Linked DNA regions of Neodiprion lecontei. The protein of the gene in region 2 binds, or shares a complex with, the protein of the main gene of each other region. Links are inferred from orthologs where the notes say so. Each region holds a gene or a part of one and is shown on either strand. Other genes may lie near its edges. The genes, in order: phenylalanine--tRNA ligase alpha subunit and phenylalanine--tRNA ligase beta subunit.

The links.
Region 1: the proteins of phenylalanine--tRNA ligase beta subunit (region 2) and phenylalanine--tRNA ligase alpha subunit are in contact, whole or in part, in a crystal structure (PDB 3L4G), measured with the Homo sapiens proteins. The link is inferred for Neodiprion lecontei from reciprocal best matches to the Homo sapiens genes FARSB and FARSA. Residues at the interface, in NP_005678.3 of Homo sapiens: Glu26, Phe29, Gly32, Leu33, Pro68, Ala69, Asn70, Ile150, Arg152, Asp259, Thr261, Lys262, Arg305, Lys316, Lys317, Val318, Gly319, Ile359, His360, Cys362, Asp363, Glu366, Ala369, Ile370, Tyr374, Asn375, Ile377, Gln378, Met379, Thr380; in NP_004452.1 of Homo sapiens: Ser221, Gly222, His223, Leu224, His225, Leu227, Leu228, Arg231, Ser232, Arg235, Leu239, Gly242, Phe243, Thr244, Glu245, Pro247, Asp249, Asn250, Phe251, Ile252, Glu253, Ser254, Phe263, Gln266, Gln267, Phe277, Phe278, Leu279, Arg280, Asp281.

The regions. Positions count from the first base shown.
Region 1 is NC_060264.1:28,395,889-28,402,604, forward strand, and holds phenylalanine--tRNA ligase alpha subunit, read right to left. Parts: upstream 4,500-6,716; 5' UTR 4,331-4,499; coding exon 4,187-4,330; intron 3,952-4,186; coding exon 3,611-3,951; intron 3,536-3,610; coding exon 3,314-3,535; intron 3,198-3,313; coding exon 3,082-3,197; intron 2,969-3,081; coding exon 2,784-2,968; intron 2,600-2,783; coding exon 2,238-2,599; intron 1,953-2,237; coding exon 1,851-1,952; intron 1,516-1,850; coding exon 855-1,515; 3' UTR 710-854; downstream 1-709. Other genes in the region: girdin, read right to left, coding at 5,555-5,830, 5,924-6,036, 6,172-6,292, 6,392-6,455, 6,543-6,635.
Region 2 is NC_060263.1:10,026,309-10,034,821, forward strand, and holds the start of phenylalanine--tRNA ligase beta subunit, read right to left. Parts: upstream 6,035-8,513; 5' UTR 5,863-6,034; coding exon 5,805-5,862; intron 5,446-5,804; coding exon 5,390-5,445; intron 4,898-5,389; coding exon 4,743-4,897; intron 3,830-4,742; coding exon 3,760-3,829; intron 3,640-3,759; coding exon 3,373-3,639; intron 3,055-3,372; coding exon 2,875-3,054; intron 2,779-2,874; coding exon 2,603-2,778; intron 1,204-2,602; coding exon 1,002-1,203; intron 919-1,001; coding exon 838-918; intron 737-837; coding exon 644-736; intron 459-643; coding exon 179-458; intron 1-178.

The DNA.
Region 1 (6,716 bases), on a different chromosome or scaffold from region 2:
TGGGCTGATTACCTGCCCGATTCTATTTCCCCTTTAGGACACCTCCAAAATTTCGTTAGTTTTGCCGTATCTATCACCGTTCTCGAGATATTCGCGATTTTAGATTTTTGTCATCGAAATTCTGCGAATCAATTGGAGTTGTTGTTAAATTTAGATGCTATCAGACCAGCAGATCCCGAATTATTGCTATTTTTGCGCTATCTATCACCGTTCTCGAGATATTCGCGATTTAAGGTTTGAAAATTAAAATTAAAATCGAAATAAAATTAAGGGATCCAGGGGAGTTCTTACGATGGGCTAATTACCTGCCCGATTCTATTTCCCCTTTAGGAAACCGAGATATTCGCGATTTTAAATCGGAATTCAGTAAATTTATGGGAGTTTTGAATTAAATTAGAAAATGGAATTCTGTAAATTAATAGGAGTTTTGAATTAAATTAGAAAATACAAGTACACAAAAATTTACCTACGGGTAACTATCTTTATAAGTCTTCGGTCAACGGTTGCAGGGATGCACAAGATCGACTGACTAATTGATGATCTAGCAATGTGATTCATTGAAAGTACGGGCTTAGTAGAAATTGTACATACACTACCACCTTAATACTCGCACGAGTCGCGGTCTTTGCTCCAGGCTTCTTATATTCGAAATTCGAACATGGAGTATCAGTTAGGGTTTGTTTAGAAGGGAAAAGAAAAAATAGGAATATTAAAATGGTGAAATAATTTATATGTTCAATTTGATAAATCACAATAAAATGCTGTAGAAAAGAAATAATCATTTATAATTATCAATAGTAATAAAATATTTTTTTGTTTCGTTTTATAGAATCCAGAAATATTTACATATAAAACTATTTAGTGTGATGTTTTTTTACAGAGTTCCAAACGATGTCAACAATTGAAAGTTTGCTACCAATTATATATCCGGTTTTTGATTTAATTTGCATAGTGTCTAGTTTGTGCCTTGTAGCACCGTGTATGATGCCATGTATTTTGTCTAATGCCGAGTCTATTTTATCAGCGTAAGCAGCCGAGGTACTTTCGTATTCCAAGATGTTTCTGCATTCAGCTTCAATGAACCGATTCAAATACCGAGCTATGTTGACTTCGCCAACAATTTCATGATTCTGATTAAGTTTTAAAATTGGGTCGACACCAACGATCTTCCAAACGATCGTTACAGTGATGTCAGCGGTATCAGCATTTGTAGATTTCTTAAACTTTGAACAGAAATCTCTCAACTCTTGAGGAAATACCGCAACGTTAGAATGGGTATACGTAGAAACGAATACGCTATGAAATTCATTGATCAAACTCAGTAGAGTTTCTAAAGAATACATTGGTCGACTAGGATCGCAGAATATGACTAAATTTTTTTTTTCAAACGTTGTTGTTGAGCGCCCAACTCTTGGCAATTCCTTCTGTAACTGTTCTAGTTCCAAGAGAATTTTATCCAAACGTTCCTCCAACTGTTCTGCCGTATATTTTGACTTCAATATCCGCGGTCCATTCCTAGGAAAACAAGCCACACCCTATTTTATCTGCATTTGTGACCATTTCTTATCAAGCTTATAACTTATGCATGTAGAAACATCCATGTGATGCACAAATGATTCTGAATGAAGCTAAGGATAGACACTTTTCTCTGAACATAATTCCTGTAATACAAAAACTACAAAGGCGAGGAAACACGTTGTAGGAGATATACGTTATTTGCGGGACTGAAAAAACACAACGGATATTATAAAATGGACAGGATAATAAATGAAACAATCTACGCTCAATAGACGATTTATTTTAAACATGCATTAAATAATGTAGAATGAATAAATGAAATTGATAATTACTTCTCAAGACGACATATGGGATTGTTATGTACCATTTGCAGGTCCACTTTTGGTCCAACTAGATCACGGATATTATTCAATCCATACTTGATCATCGTAGGCCTGTAGGGAAAACAAAATATCATACAGATCAATACCTACTTTCTATCCTCTTTTATGAATGATCTACCAACTACTGGATTAAATAATTGTAATATTTGATGTGAATGATGCGTAAGAATTGCTTAATAAGTTAATTGAAATCCTGAGTCTGAACCAATCTGAATTCTGATCAATATGACTAATGACTGACATTACTAGGAAACCAGTAGTTCTGATGGCGCAACTTCCTTCTTCCCTTGCCTTAGTCGCGAGAAAATTGCTCCAACACTTGAAAAATGGTTTTACCTTTCCAAAGACAGACCCCATGCAATAACATTAACATTTTCGGGCAACCCCATCGGCAGCAGCATCTCAGGTCTGAAAATTCCACTGTTTCCGATCTCTATCCACTTTCCCAAGCCATTATGGAAGCAAAATATCTCCATGCTCGGTTCGGTGTATGGATTGTATGCTGGCTTGAATTCCAGCTGAATGATGCCGAGTTTTTTGAAGAATTCATAGAGTGTTCCTATCAGATCGCCCAGTGTGAGATTGTAGTCTGCAACTACGCCTTCGACCTGATGAAACTCAGCCAAGTGTGTGGCATCGAGTGTCTCGTTCCTGAATACTCTGTCGATACTAAAGTATCGCACAGGCTTAAATTCACCCTAAAATTCACAAAGCTGCAGATTAAGATGCTTCTCAGCTAGATTTCAACAGGATTTACTAGAAAAAATCCTTGGTTTCGTATTTTATCACAACATCAATGCAAAATTTGTTAAATGCATATAGCGTGGCAGCTCATGAACCATTTATTTTCTTTGTAGTCAATACTGAACACATGCAGCTTACCTGCTGCATAAGATTGTAGAGCATTCTGGCGCTAACAGCTGTTGTGTGAGTCCTGAGTAAATTTTTCTGAGCTTCCTCAATTTTCCACTCGTAACGATATCCTTGCGATCCATAGCCGCCTTCGCTGTGCACTTTCTTTACCTTCTCCAAGTAATCCTTAGGAAAATTTGAGCTAGTTCTTGGTTCTGAAGAATTTACAAAAATTAAGTGAGGATCGCTGAGTTTGGACGATTAATGTCGAATGTAAAAAGCATACAAAAGGGGATCCGATGATTTGAAAATAGTAATAATTCCTTACCAGATATGAAAAAAGTATCATGCGCATCTCGCGCAGGGTGTTGTTGTGGCTGAAACAACGCATCGAAATTCCAGAATGAACTCTCAACAAAATTGTTTGTAGGCATTTCGGAGAATCTATAAGAATGAGTGAAGAGGACAAAAGAAAGATGAGTTTCTTTTCAAAGTCAAAGAATTGCATCGCCTGTTGTCAATGGTTAAAAATTGGCATATGCTCAAAAAATGTATCTTACCCCATTTCAAGGAAAATCTTTCTGAATTCAGCTCTGACTTTAAGAAGAGGGTGCAGATGACCGATGTCAAGCGCCACACCGAGAGCATCGAAATTATAAGGCTTGAACTTCTTTTGCTTCCAAGAGTCGTTTGTCAATAAATCTGCCGTAAGATCTGTTTCTAGTTTCTCAATTTTAGTCACAAATTGTAGTCCTTTTGACAACACCATTATCTTTGTTACCCTGCGAAGACAAGTAATTAACTAATGAAAAACTATCAAAATAACAAGTACCGAAAATTCTATCATTGCAGCTTACACTTCCTGCAGGAGTTTTCTCTTCTTGTAATCATTTTTAACATTGTCCGGGATGTTGGCAACATTTTTCAAATGTAACTGAATTGTGTCCGTTATAGAGGGTACTTTTCTCCTAACGATCGGAGTCCCGCTGCTCTTGTCCAGCTCGATCCAGCCAGCTACCAATGCCTTGGAAAATCCCACCTTAGCGTTTGGTACAGTCTTCATAATCTCTGTTTGCGCCACACCACCGTCTGGCACAGCTTTAAAGACCGCAGCCTCGTGGCTCCCATTTTCAGCGACTTGCTGACCCTCTTGCGTCAGTGCCCAACTCTTCTTATTCAATTGTTCAACTGAAATAACCTGTGGTGAATCAGACTCTGGTTTAGAGTAAATAATCAATTTTAATCGTAGCAGTACATTCATAATAATTCGATCACGATCTGACAGTGTAGAACATTGAATAATATTCGAAAATAGTTACAGCTGTTGCGTCATTCTTACTTTGTTTATGTCAAGTTTACATGCAAAAAAGTGATGAACAATTGAATACGGCTCTGAGTATTATTGGAAGGAAACGATAGAGTGCAAAAGTTACATTTTCGAGGGTTTGAAGACTTTTGACAGCGCCGATCACTTTCTGATGATCTTCAACGAATAGCTCAGCCAGATCCAGAGTGCTCACTCCATCGCCACGCTTTGATAAATGTTCAAGTATTTTCTCCGCTAACTCGCTAGCCATGTTGACAAGATTTTATTAACTGTCTCACATCCGATGATAAATCTTTTTTCAATAGTAATTCTTTTCAACCTTTGCTAACCGCCGTTAATTGTGATGAACCGCACTGCGTGTCATGCCACGGCTCAATCCTAACCTAGAATTTTAGAAAATTACGCTGAATCGATCCCTTCATTATCGACAATCAATGTCGAAATTTACATTCAAAGGATAGCTGCTGATTGGCTTTTGTTTATCGAATGCCAGTGATTCAAACCAAACTCATCAAACAGAAAAACGGGATCACATTCCTCAATTCTTCTCTTCTCATAGTTTTTTGTTTGTTAAATATAAGGAACAATGGAAAACATAAAAAATTGGTGGCAGTTGTTTAAATAAAAATTTCGCCGATTTTTATTGTTAAATAACAATATTGTGTAGGAAAGTTTTAATTACACCATTCATATTGCGACTATGCCCGAATTCTAGAACGTAACAAATTCTATTTCTACCAAAGCTGCCGATGGAATTTAACAATGTGTGACCTCTTGAGAGTGTCTGATGACTTCAAGGTGAGAAGATTGATGGAATAGATTCTGTTACGATCTCGATAAATCGGTCTTAGGCTCTAATGATAACATAATTGGTGTTTTTTAGCCTTATCCTAGTTGCATAAAACAGCATTCAATTGATACAGCTGTACAGCTGATCAAGTCTTTGACTCTCACACTTAAAAAAAAAAGAACATTCATCAAAAATAAGCTGAGTAATACTATGAAAGGTGCACTGTTATTATTGCCCCAATTATTTGCGAGGCAAGTAAATTCGTTAAAACACCAGTCTTTTGGAAAATACTACATTGGTAAAACTACGCATGGAAGAGAATTTTTTAAAAAGCAGCAATAGAAATAAATAATAATTTCTACACTCATTCATTAAACAGTCATTTTGTCGCATTATGTAAAAACCGCATACCTTTTACCCCTGTTTACTAACTATCCACATATCAATAGTATTTCAGTTAATTCTATATTCGGTAACTAAAATCAATAAGGTAGGAATCCTCTATTTTTTTTTCTCAACTGAAAGAAAAACAAACAACCAGAACGGTTACCTCTAATCTTGACCAAGTCTAAATTACAAATATCTTGTAAAGAGAACAAAATTAGGTAAGCGCTAATATTTACAATTTGTACTTGTAACGCGATCGGTATAACTTGATTAATTAGTAACTATTCGTTGATTAAATTATACACATCCGTATTCGTACCAAACGGAAGCCGCTTTGGCATCTTTTTCGGATGATCTTTCACCGACGGTTTCAGGAATATTGGCTGGAATATCTTTCTCCGTTGTAGAGATATTTTTCGATTCGTTTATCACCGCTGATACTTTGTTGTAAATCAATACTGGATGTTTACTGTTCTGCGCGTCTAAATCTGGATTTGTGTTCGAATCGATTTGGCCGTTTCTGTTTCTCTCATCTCCTTCTAACATCTTCGCTGGATCAGCTACTCGTTGATCCTGTTTAATGGAAAATCACTATCCTTAAGAATAATGTAATTTTTCATTGGAGTAAAAGAAGTTTCCTATTTCAGATTCATGACACAGACTTACATCCAGAGTCGTTTTGCTCGATGGAATTTCGTCTGTATAGTAAACTGTTCTCCGAGTGCCTGGGTAGCCTAGCGATAAGGGATCGCTTCTCAGCTCCGTGATATCTGGCTGTTCTGAATTGATGAGAAAAAAGAGAAAAAACACTAAATGTTAATATATGGAACAGTTTCGCACCAAACTTGCACCACTCGTTCACTCATTTCTTCAGCTCTTTACTAAGGATCCAAACAGTAACTAAAGCTATGTACCTTTTTTACCTCTTATCGGTCTAATATCTTCTGCACTGGCGTCGGAATCGTTTCCACCAGATTCGGACTCGTATGTTTTGCCATCCAACTGTTTGGTGTCCTCGGCCCAGGATCTACGATTCTGTTAATCGGAAATTAAAGTTTTAGAAACCTGAATTGTAGGATTCACTGGAGGTAGTAACTTCGGCATCTTACATTTGCATATTTTGATTTTTCTTACCTTGTTCAAGAGCTCAGAGCCGGCCTTTCTCACTCTCCTGACAAAACTAGCACCGAATCCTTTTCTAAAGCAGAAATGAATGAATAAATGAATACATGCATAAGCAGAATAGGGTACAATATCAATTTTGGGAATCACAGTCTGTTCATACTTTTTCATCGAACAACTTTCAAGTTTGCGGTAATGCTCCATTATTTTTTCTTCTAGTTTCTCTTTCTGTCGGCAAAGATTGTTTACTTTGTCCCTGTGAATAACAAAATTGTACTTTTTCAATTAAATCAAATAACTACAGCAACAACAACAGATATAACACGGTTAAAACCTT
Region 2 (8,513 bases):
TAAACATTCATTGGTCCAGCCATTTTTTTTTCCCCCCTTAGAACACAGTTACGGGTAGTAATGACAAACTTAATTTAAAAGAAAAAGCAAATATGCTAAACTTGATCTGAGATGATGGCATTGAAACGGATACTAGAAATACATCATTGCAGAACTAAAAAGTATCGAAATAGCTCACCGTCGGCAGCACGCAAGTAGTAACCATTGGAATCTTTAGCTGTACTCCATGGAACTTCAAGTAACTGCATAATTCTGTCTAAAAGACCATGAATTATCTCGAAGCCTGCAAACTTATTACAATTGATTGCACAAATTCGTCTTTCATTACGGGCTCCAACTTCCGCTGTACAATCACGCAGTACTACATCGGATATTTCAAATAACTTTTGGGGTAACGGCATCTTTTTGTTAGCAGCCAAAGTCTTCAGAAGTCCCGGTAGTAATGTGGTCCTAGCTACCTAAACGCAGTTAGTTGAATATTTTATGGCTGGATGTACTCAATGTTTGTAAAGAAAACATAATGTATAATGCAAGCATTAAAAAACTAATCGTATTATCAATTTAATTGGGTCGCGAACATGTATTGCTTAAAATTGTGTTAAATTATTAAACCGAAAGGTTTGTGATTTTAAATGATACCTACTTGAAATTCTAGTGTCTTTGGATTAGAGATATGGACCGCTGGTACATCCTTGATGCCAAGTCTCAATTTCTCAGATATATCCTCTCGAGAACACTTGAATTGGAGTACATAATAAAGAAACAATAATGAAGAAAGAGGTTTCAGATGACGAGAGGCCAAGTGAAAGGATTTTCAAAAGTAGCGACGATACATACCAAGGAAAATGTCAAAGCTTCTGTAAATCCAGCATGAGCAACTTCTTCTCTCAGTTGATCAGATAACTTGTTTAGTGGAAACTAATATAACAGTATAATTAGTTTCCGGAATGAAAGGTAATATTAGGTCTTCTTTCGTATGGATAATATAATACTTGCTTCACCTGTTCTGCGATTGTCAACCCTTTGGGTAATGTTTTTACTATGTTGTTGTAGCCGTAGGCAATAGCTATATCCTCGTAGATATCGCAAGGATGTATGACATCATGCCTTGTGGGAGGTATTTCAACTATTAACCTGTCGTCTTCAACTTTGGTTTTCAAACACATTTTAGAAAGAAGCTGTGCAACGTTGTTTGGCGTTTCTCTGAAAGTACAAAATTTGTTAACGGTTTACGTTTTCCTAAGTGAAATAATTTCGTGAATATTATTTATTGTTAACATTTTAGTGAGAAAAAAACGAAAAAGATTATAAAATCTATATCCTTAAAATCATATGATAAATCTCATCCACGGCACAATACATTTTCAACAGGGTTTAACCGATGATATACTGAAATTACTAAGTGTGAATTAAAATTAAAAATGATAAACTGTTGTAACTCATTTAAATATTTATAAAAGTATTCCAATTGCTGTTCGAAATATTCATTCTCTCCATGACTCAATGGGAAGAAAATTTAAGTATGTTGACGGCAAAAAGAATGCGATACTTTTGATGCTTTTCAGAAATGAATAACACATTACACAATCTGGGTCCAAGCAAAATAATAGAGATGAGATTTTCGTTTGTTGCAACAGATCTGTGATGATTTTATACTGTCTAGTTTGGTAAGTTTGATTTTATTGTGCTTAAAGTGTACCGTCATAACTGTTCAGTGAAGTAATCAGCATTATTGAAATGTATCAATTTTAATTTCTCACCCTCAATGCGCACAGTAGGAATAGAAAGATCCTAGACAAATTCACCTTCAAGTTGCTCTCAGCCATGACATGAAAATTGAACTTATCTCATTATCCTGCTCAAGGTACTCCTTCTCTCCCCTAGCACAGTGCGTCATTCGTCAAGCGTCAGTATAGTTTTGGCATTTGGGTGAAAGTATATGCCTCGAGATTTAGAGGTGCAATATTTTCCAGTGTGTACACAATGATTGTTTGATGTTATTGGTGTACTGATTTTTCTGTGATCTTTATCATTGATCATCTTCGATAGAATGTAAGTATTTCATGAAGTGCAATGTGAATAATTTTGCAGTGTCGTTAATATTTTATAAGATTTTTTGATATTTTTATAACATTTTACTTGTACCTGATTGTGAGTACGAAGGAAATGCAAGAGAAACTTAGTGCATTATGCAAATAAATCAATATATTTTGTAAAAATCTTTTTTTTTTTTAATTTCCCTCATTTCGATTAGCAGAGTGAACAGAATAATTTTTATCAAATGCGCACTGTAGCACTAATTCATTTCTTAAATTGACTATAACCATTATGTAATTCTCCTGAAGAGTACACGTTAAGAGTTGATAAGCAAGGCTTTCTATGCGGAGAAACTAGTTCCTAAGTGGAACTGCGCCAGACTACTCAATTGGTCCTCCTGTGATCTTGATCTTAGACAACAGTGGCGCTGCCTCTACCCTTGCAACAGGGTCAGACTGTATTGAGTTGAAAAGACAATACTGTTTGCATACATCAATGTTAATATGGATGAGACGTTTATTTTTTGATCTTAATAAGTAGAAAAATAATGACTGTAATAACTTACCTAATACCGATATAGCCAGTGGCTTTTTCTGGACTGATTTCTTCATTTCGATAACTGAGATTAGGGTATTGGAATCTCGTCCTATCGGGATATATCACCTCCACCTTTTCAGCTGTATATTTTTCTTTGCAGTACTGACTAAACATACATATCAGTGTATCCAGGACTATATTTGCCTAAACGAAAATAAAGGTGCAAAAACTGACATGTTGGTAAAAGATTTCAAATTCATTTTTAAATTAAGCATGTGATACAAAGCTGAACGTAATTACCTTAGTAAGATCCGTAGCTGTACATTCAATGAGAACATTTTTAGTGTTTAGAGTAATCTTAGAATGATCTCCATTGATTATCGGCGGCAATGATAATACCACACCATTGCTATCATAAATAATCGGATACACAGGACTGTCCTTTATGATTGGTAAATATTGCTTGAGCTGTGCGTGGTTCTGCAAGTGAAAATGTAGGGTTTGGCAAATACAATTAAAAAAAAATTATCTTGCTACCTTAGGGATGGACGAAAAAGAAAACTGACGTAATGCGGCATGACTCAAACAAAATTTGTGATCACACAAGCATTATCATAAGCCTTATAAGTTTCCAAAGTTCGAAACGGTTCCATTGTTAATTACCTAATCATCAAGTCTATCGAATAAGACATGTTTTTTCCATAAAATTTTCGAAGAGAATAATGAAGTCTGAATAAGAGACATATAAATACATGAATTTATGATACGATGTAACTCAAACATGTCGCATTTACATACAGCATACAAATCCATGATCTGCTCTCCTGTGTATACTTTTTGTTGATTCAGCGGTTTGAAAGAAATATTTTTCGGAGGTTTAGCATCATAAGTGAAAGGACCCTGAATTGTGTCCAAGTCGTGAGTTCCTATTGCCACAAGGCTGCGTTTGCGACAAATGTTTTGATGGAGCTTATCTTGTAAATCGATAAGGCTTTTGTAGGAATCTTGGTTTATCGTTATATCTCTTAATATGGCTCCTACAACGTAACATCGTATTCTTTGAGTCTGTCCAAACAGAAAAGCCAACAGATAACATTTCCAGTGTGAAAGAGTTCAAAAAGAAGCACGATGATAAATTGGCGCGCCATTTTTGCAGCAGTAAATATTTTCATAAACAGAACTCACACTTCGAGTAACGATAATTTGATGTAAATTGCTTTTAGGTAGAAGTGCTGTATATCGAGGGGGTGGATTTCTGAAATAACAATTAACATTGAATTAACTATAATTGATAATGTCAAGCATTAATTAAGCCAAGGAAAAAGCTTTTGCACCAAAGAGTGATTCTTATTCGAATAATCCTAGTCTAGAACGTATTTTTTTCTAATTTTCATATTGTATATCGGTTCTTTCAGCTGCACAATTGCAATTTTAAAACTCACATACTTTGTGGTAATTTTAAACCTTGGGAATGCTTTTTTATAATCTAGCTAAGAAACTTTGGTCACAAATAGCCAGAAATTTATCAGATAGGACTTCAAAGTTTGCAACTTGTACCTTGATTTAGACTTCAATTTTTACACATTTCAAAGTTTTTAAGGAAATTAGTTATTTTGCTGAGTGAGTACTTCCTTTAGAAGCTGAATTCAAAAATACTTTACTTAGTACACCACGCGTTTTCTTTTTTTTACTGTTTTTAATAATAATAATTATTATTGTTGTAACAAATCATGTTTAATAAATACCAAGTCTTAAAACGTAACTGGTAATTTACATACCTCAGAATGAAACTACTTTGCAAAATGCTATTACGATTGAAATCATATAGTGAATTAAATTTAAGAGCATCGATGAATTATTACGACTCAAAAATAATGTGTATACTATGAAGTATACATTCTGCTTGTAAATATTATGGAGGCTGAAGTTAGTAATGTTAACGTAATGAACGATTCGAGGAGAAGTTCAGTACTTAGAAATTATGTAGTGACTTTGAAGTAGTCAAGTTTCACAAAATATGAATGTTTTGGTTTATTACAGTTTACTGCATTAAAGACATTCCTAAAATTCAGGCATAAGGATTTTCACGAGACGTCGATCATCGCAGTAATGTTATTAACTTCAGCCTATTAAAACTAAACAAATAGTATGTACTATGTGATTAATACTTCTCTAAAAATACAAGAATTCCGCTGACTAGACCCTCAAGGCATAGGAGGTCATATCGGTTTGCTGGAATATCAATTCTGTAGATAATTTCATCCGAAGCATCTGCACCATGATCGGAGCCTTGTTCTTTCGCTATCATTTGCTTTTCCGTAGTCTAGATGTGAGAAAAAACATTTTTTATGTACATATAATCTTCTGTATAATTATCAGCTAACATTAAGCTAGTTTGATAATCGGGTAATTTTAATATCTACATCGTTATGAAATTTATGTACACACCTATGAGGGTCTTCAAGAAATATTTAAATATGTCAAGACATTAATATGCAAATGTGTTCTAAACGACGATAATCTTATTTCGCAAGAAATAATGATTTCAGATATCATTTAAAACATGTGCATATGTTATATCATACATGTTTTACTACGTTAAACTACGGTTCACTGTGTTATATAAATTTTGTTTCTATACCAAAATTTGAATCCTCTCTGTAAGTACTCTACAGTGTTTATGTGTTCAATTTTTAAATACCTGATCGTTCAAAACAGAACAGCCATTGTATTTCAAAACTATAATATGACACATATTGAACATTCTGACACAATAATATTGAATAATTTTTGTGATCATTAAAAAAGATCTTACCACTTCGTCCAGTTCAAGACCAAATTTGAAACATAACGATTGAAATTCATCGTCAGCTGAAAGTATAAAAGGCCACAATTTATAGCTATCAAAAAATTATAATGATCAAAGCATTGTGTTTCAGTTGTTGGGAACTAAACAACCTGCAATGGAATGGAATAAACGACTCGATAGCAAAAACTGCAACAAAGAGACTATGTGGACAAATAGGAACGACATGTAAAATTGTAGTTTACATGTAATAATATCATACAAAAAGATGAAAGTATGTGAGTGCAGCGTAAAGAACACAGTTCAATTTTCAATTAATCTTTGCTTTCAGCAATATCAATGAACAATTTTGAAAATACCAGTTTGATGATTAATATTTAGATACTAAAACGTCAAGGTCCGCCCTTTCCATCTAAAAACTTACTGTAAGTACTTCCTAATGCTTTGAAAAGCAAGTCACGTTTCACACTAATAGTAGGCATATTTGTGGAAAAAGTAAAATTTAAACAACAATATCATGCAACATAAGAGTAATATTCGGTACGGAATATACAACTAAATATTGCAGCACGATATCGTATTTGAGGTTCTTCTGCTTGTTGAATCTATCGCATTAGGGTAAGTGCCAATCTATGTGAGGTTACGTGAAGCTACCGTATAAGCTGAAATGAGGACGTACACGAATGCACATCAGTCATTAGCTCTGTTCACGGTCTTACATACAGGTCTTGCGACTCTGAGTTTCGACGTGGGCCTCTTAACGTGTCAAGCCGCTAGCGTCGCTGCGATCGAGGGATGCCCGGTGCGACAAGGACACGGTCTTGACCGTGTTGTGAACGAAACACGATACGGAACACGCACGTCAGTCGTCAAAGGCTTATTCAAACATTGTAGGTTATGTTGATGCACCCCTCGATCGCAGCTCCATCTGGATTTTTCTTCAACAGAGGAGCCACTCTCTACCATTGGAATTCTATTGAGTCGCAAGACCTGTATGTAAGACCGTGGCTCTGTTCGTTTTAGTTACTCTTTTCTACACTTTTTACACTTTTTCTGAATCTAGCCAATGGAAGGTGCCCTTTCCTAGGGAAAGTGTAAAAAGTGTAGAAGGTGTAACTAAAACTAACAGAGCTACTGATCTGACTTAGGTGGTACGCGCACTAGTGGCTGGATTTTTATGGTCAGCAAAGGGAGCTTTCCAGCAAGGAGACAGTGTGTCTCAGAACTGTGTGGCACTTGGAGATTAGAAGGCTTTGTAGCCATCAAATGGAGTAATAAGAAGACCTTCAGAACTGTCAGTTAGTGTTTATAACCTCAGTAATACAATATATGAAGCAATATAATGCAATGTTCTCCGTAATTTTATTCATCAATTAATAATCACCTATCTATATTTTATTTTCCATTTTTTGAATAGCTTATAATCAACATATCTCTCATCTGTAATTCGAAAGGCATTTTGTTTGATGCAAACCCTGGTGATACTTCAACGTGGATTATATTTTCACATTAATAATTGTTCAAGTAATAAATATGTACCAAACTTGGTTACGGCAAAATGCCGACCGAAGAAAAGAACAAAGCACAAAGAACAAAGAACGAGTTCAAACCACGCGAGATTTCAATATATCTGTCATGTCGGTACGGTTGGCACTACTTTTCGCTGAAATTTGAGTTTAAAGTGTGATTCAGAAAATATTTAAGTGGGAGGCGCTTAAAGTTCATATAAACTCGACTACACATCAGCTTTGATGGAGGCGTACTTCAAGACCACCACTTAAAGCTTAAGCGTAGACCAGGCATATAGGACTCTGTGTATGTATTACGCATAGATCTTAAATAATAGGGACTACAGTTGTCAAGCTGATTGCAGCTGGCACATAACCGTTGGAATACTTTGTCGCGAAATTGCGATGTTCTAAAATGAAAAAGTATTTTGTTTGAACGATTGAAGAATTTAAACAGGTTAATTTGCCATGGTGCTTTTCTCCAAGTGAAGACAAAAGATCTTCTATAAAGGAAAATGAATTTTAACATAATATTGTATGCTTGTATTTGAATCTTGAACCAACGATGGTGCTGCCACCAAGCTTCAAGAGTTGGCAGTGTAGTTCCCCATCACGTCGGCTGCATTGCCAGTCATTGTCATATAATTCGTATAGAATCGAACTCGTATTTTTTTCGGACCGAAAACAAGTTGCCCCGAAACTTTAAGTGCGCTACTTTCAATCTCGTGGCATAATCCTTTTGTTTTTTTTCCATTCCAAATTCCTATGTTACCAGGTATAAAACGTGCATTTTGTGCAACGCTCTCTTGGCTCGTGCCTCAGGTCCCACCTGTAGACTTTTAGATCACTTAAGTTTTCGGTACTTTGTCATTTGCATATGCTCTACGGGTTCAAAAACTTCTGTAGAAATTACAAACGAGTATTCTTTGCCGCGCAACTCAATACTCCATTTTATTTAGAACATAGTTCTGCCTGAACAACCAGCAATCTTTCCATTTAAACTTATAATTAATTATCCGGCATCCTCCATTTGTAAGCGAACTATTGTGCAAATAAATACTTTAAAATTAAATTTCTTAGTTTTCTCAAATAAAATAGTACGTGAATTCCTGTTCCCTCATCTAGCATCATTATCTCGTCGGAGGGACATCTCATCCGGTGTTTGACACTTTAAAAGGTGAGCAATTATAATTAATAATCGTCTATTAGGAATAAATCTCGGTTTCTCTAAAACAAGCAATTGAACCGAGTTGTCCAATGCATTCTTACGCTTAATTGGTATTTGGCGACCTAAACTACTGACCGTGCGTCTAGCTGCGTTTTCATCCACGGATCCCAGTCGCTAACTACTGGAATTTCCGGGAACTGTCGCGCCGACGTCTAATTACACTCCCTTCACGTCCAGAACGTAACAATGACGTAACAGTAGGACCTTTCCACTGATGCCAACCGTAAAAGTATTATGGCAAGCCCTGCATTTTGCCCACTATGGCCGTGTTCGAAAATTGACTGACAGTACTGTCAGCAATCTTTCATCTCTTTTGCGGTTCCAAGTTCATGGATAGCTCTGACTCTGTCGTAGGGAATTTTCAGTACTGTCAGTCAATTTACGAACACGGCCTTTA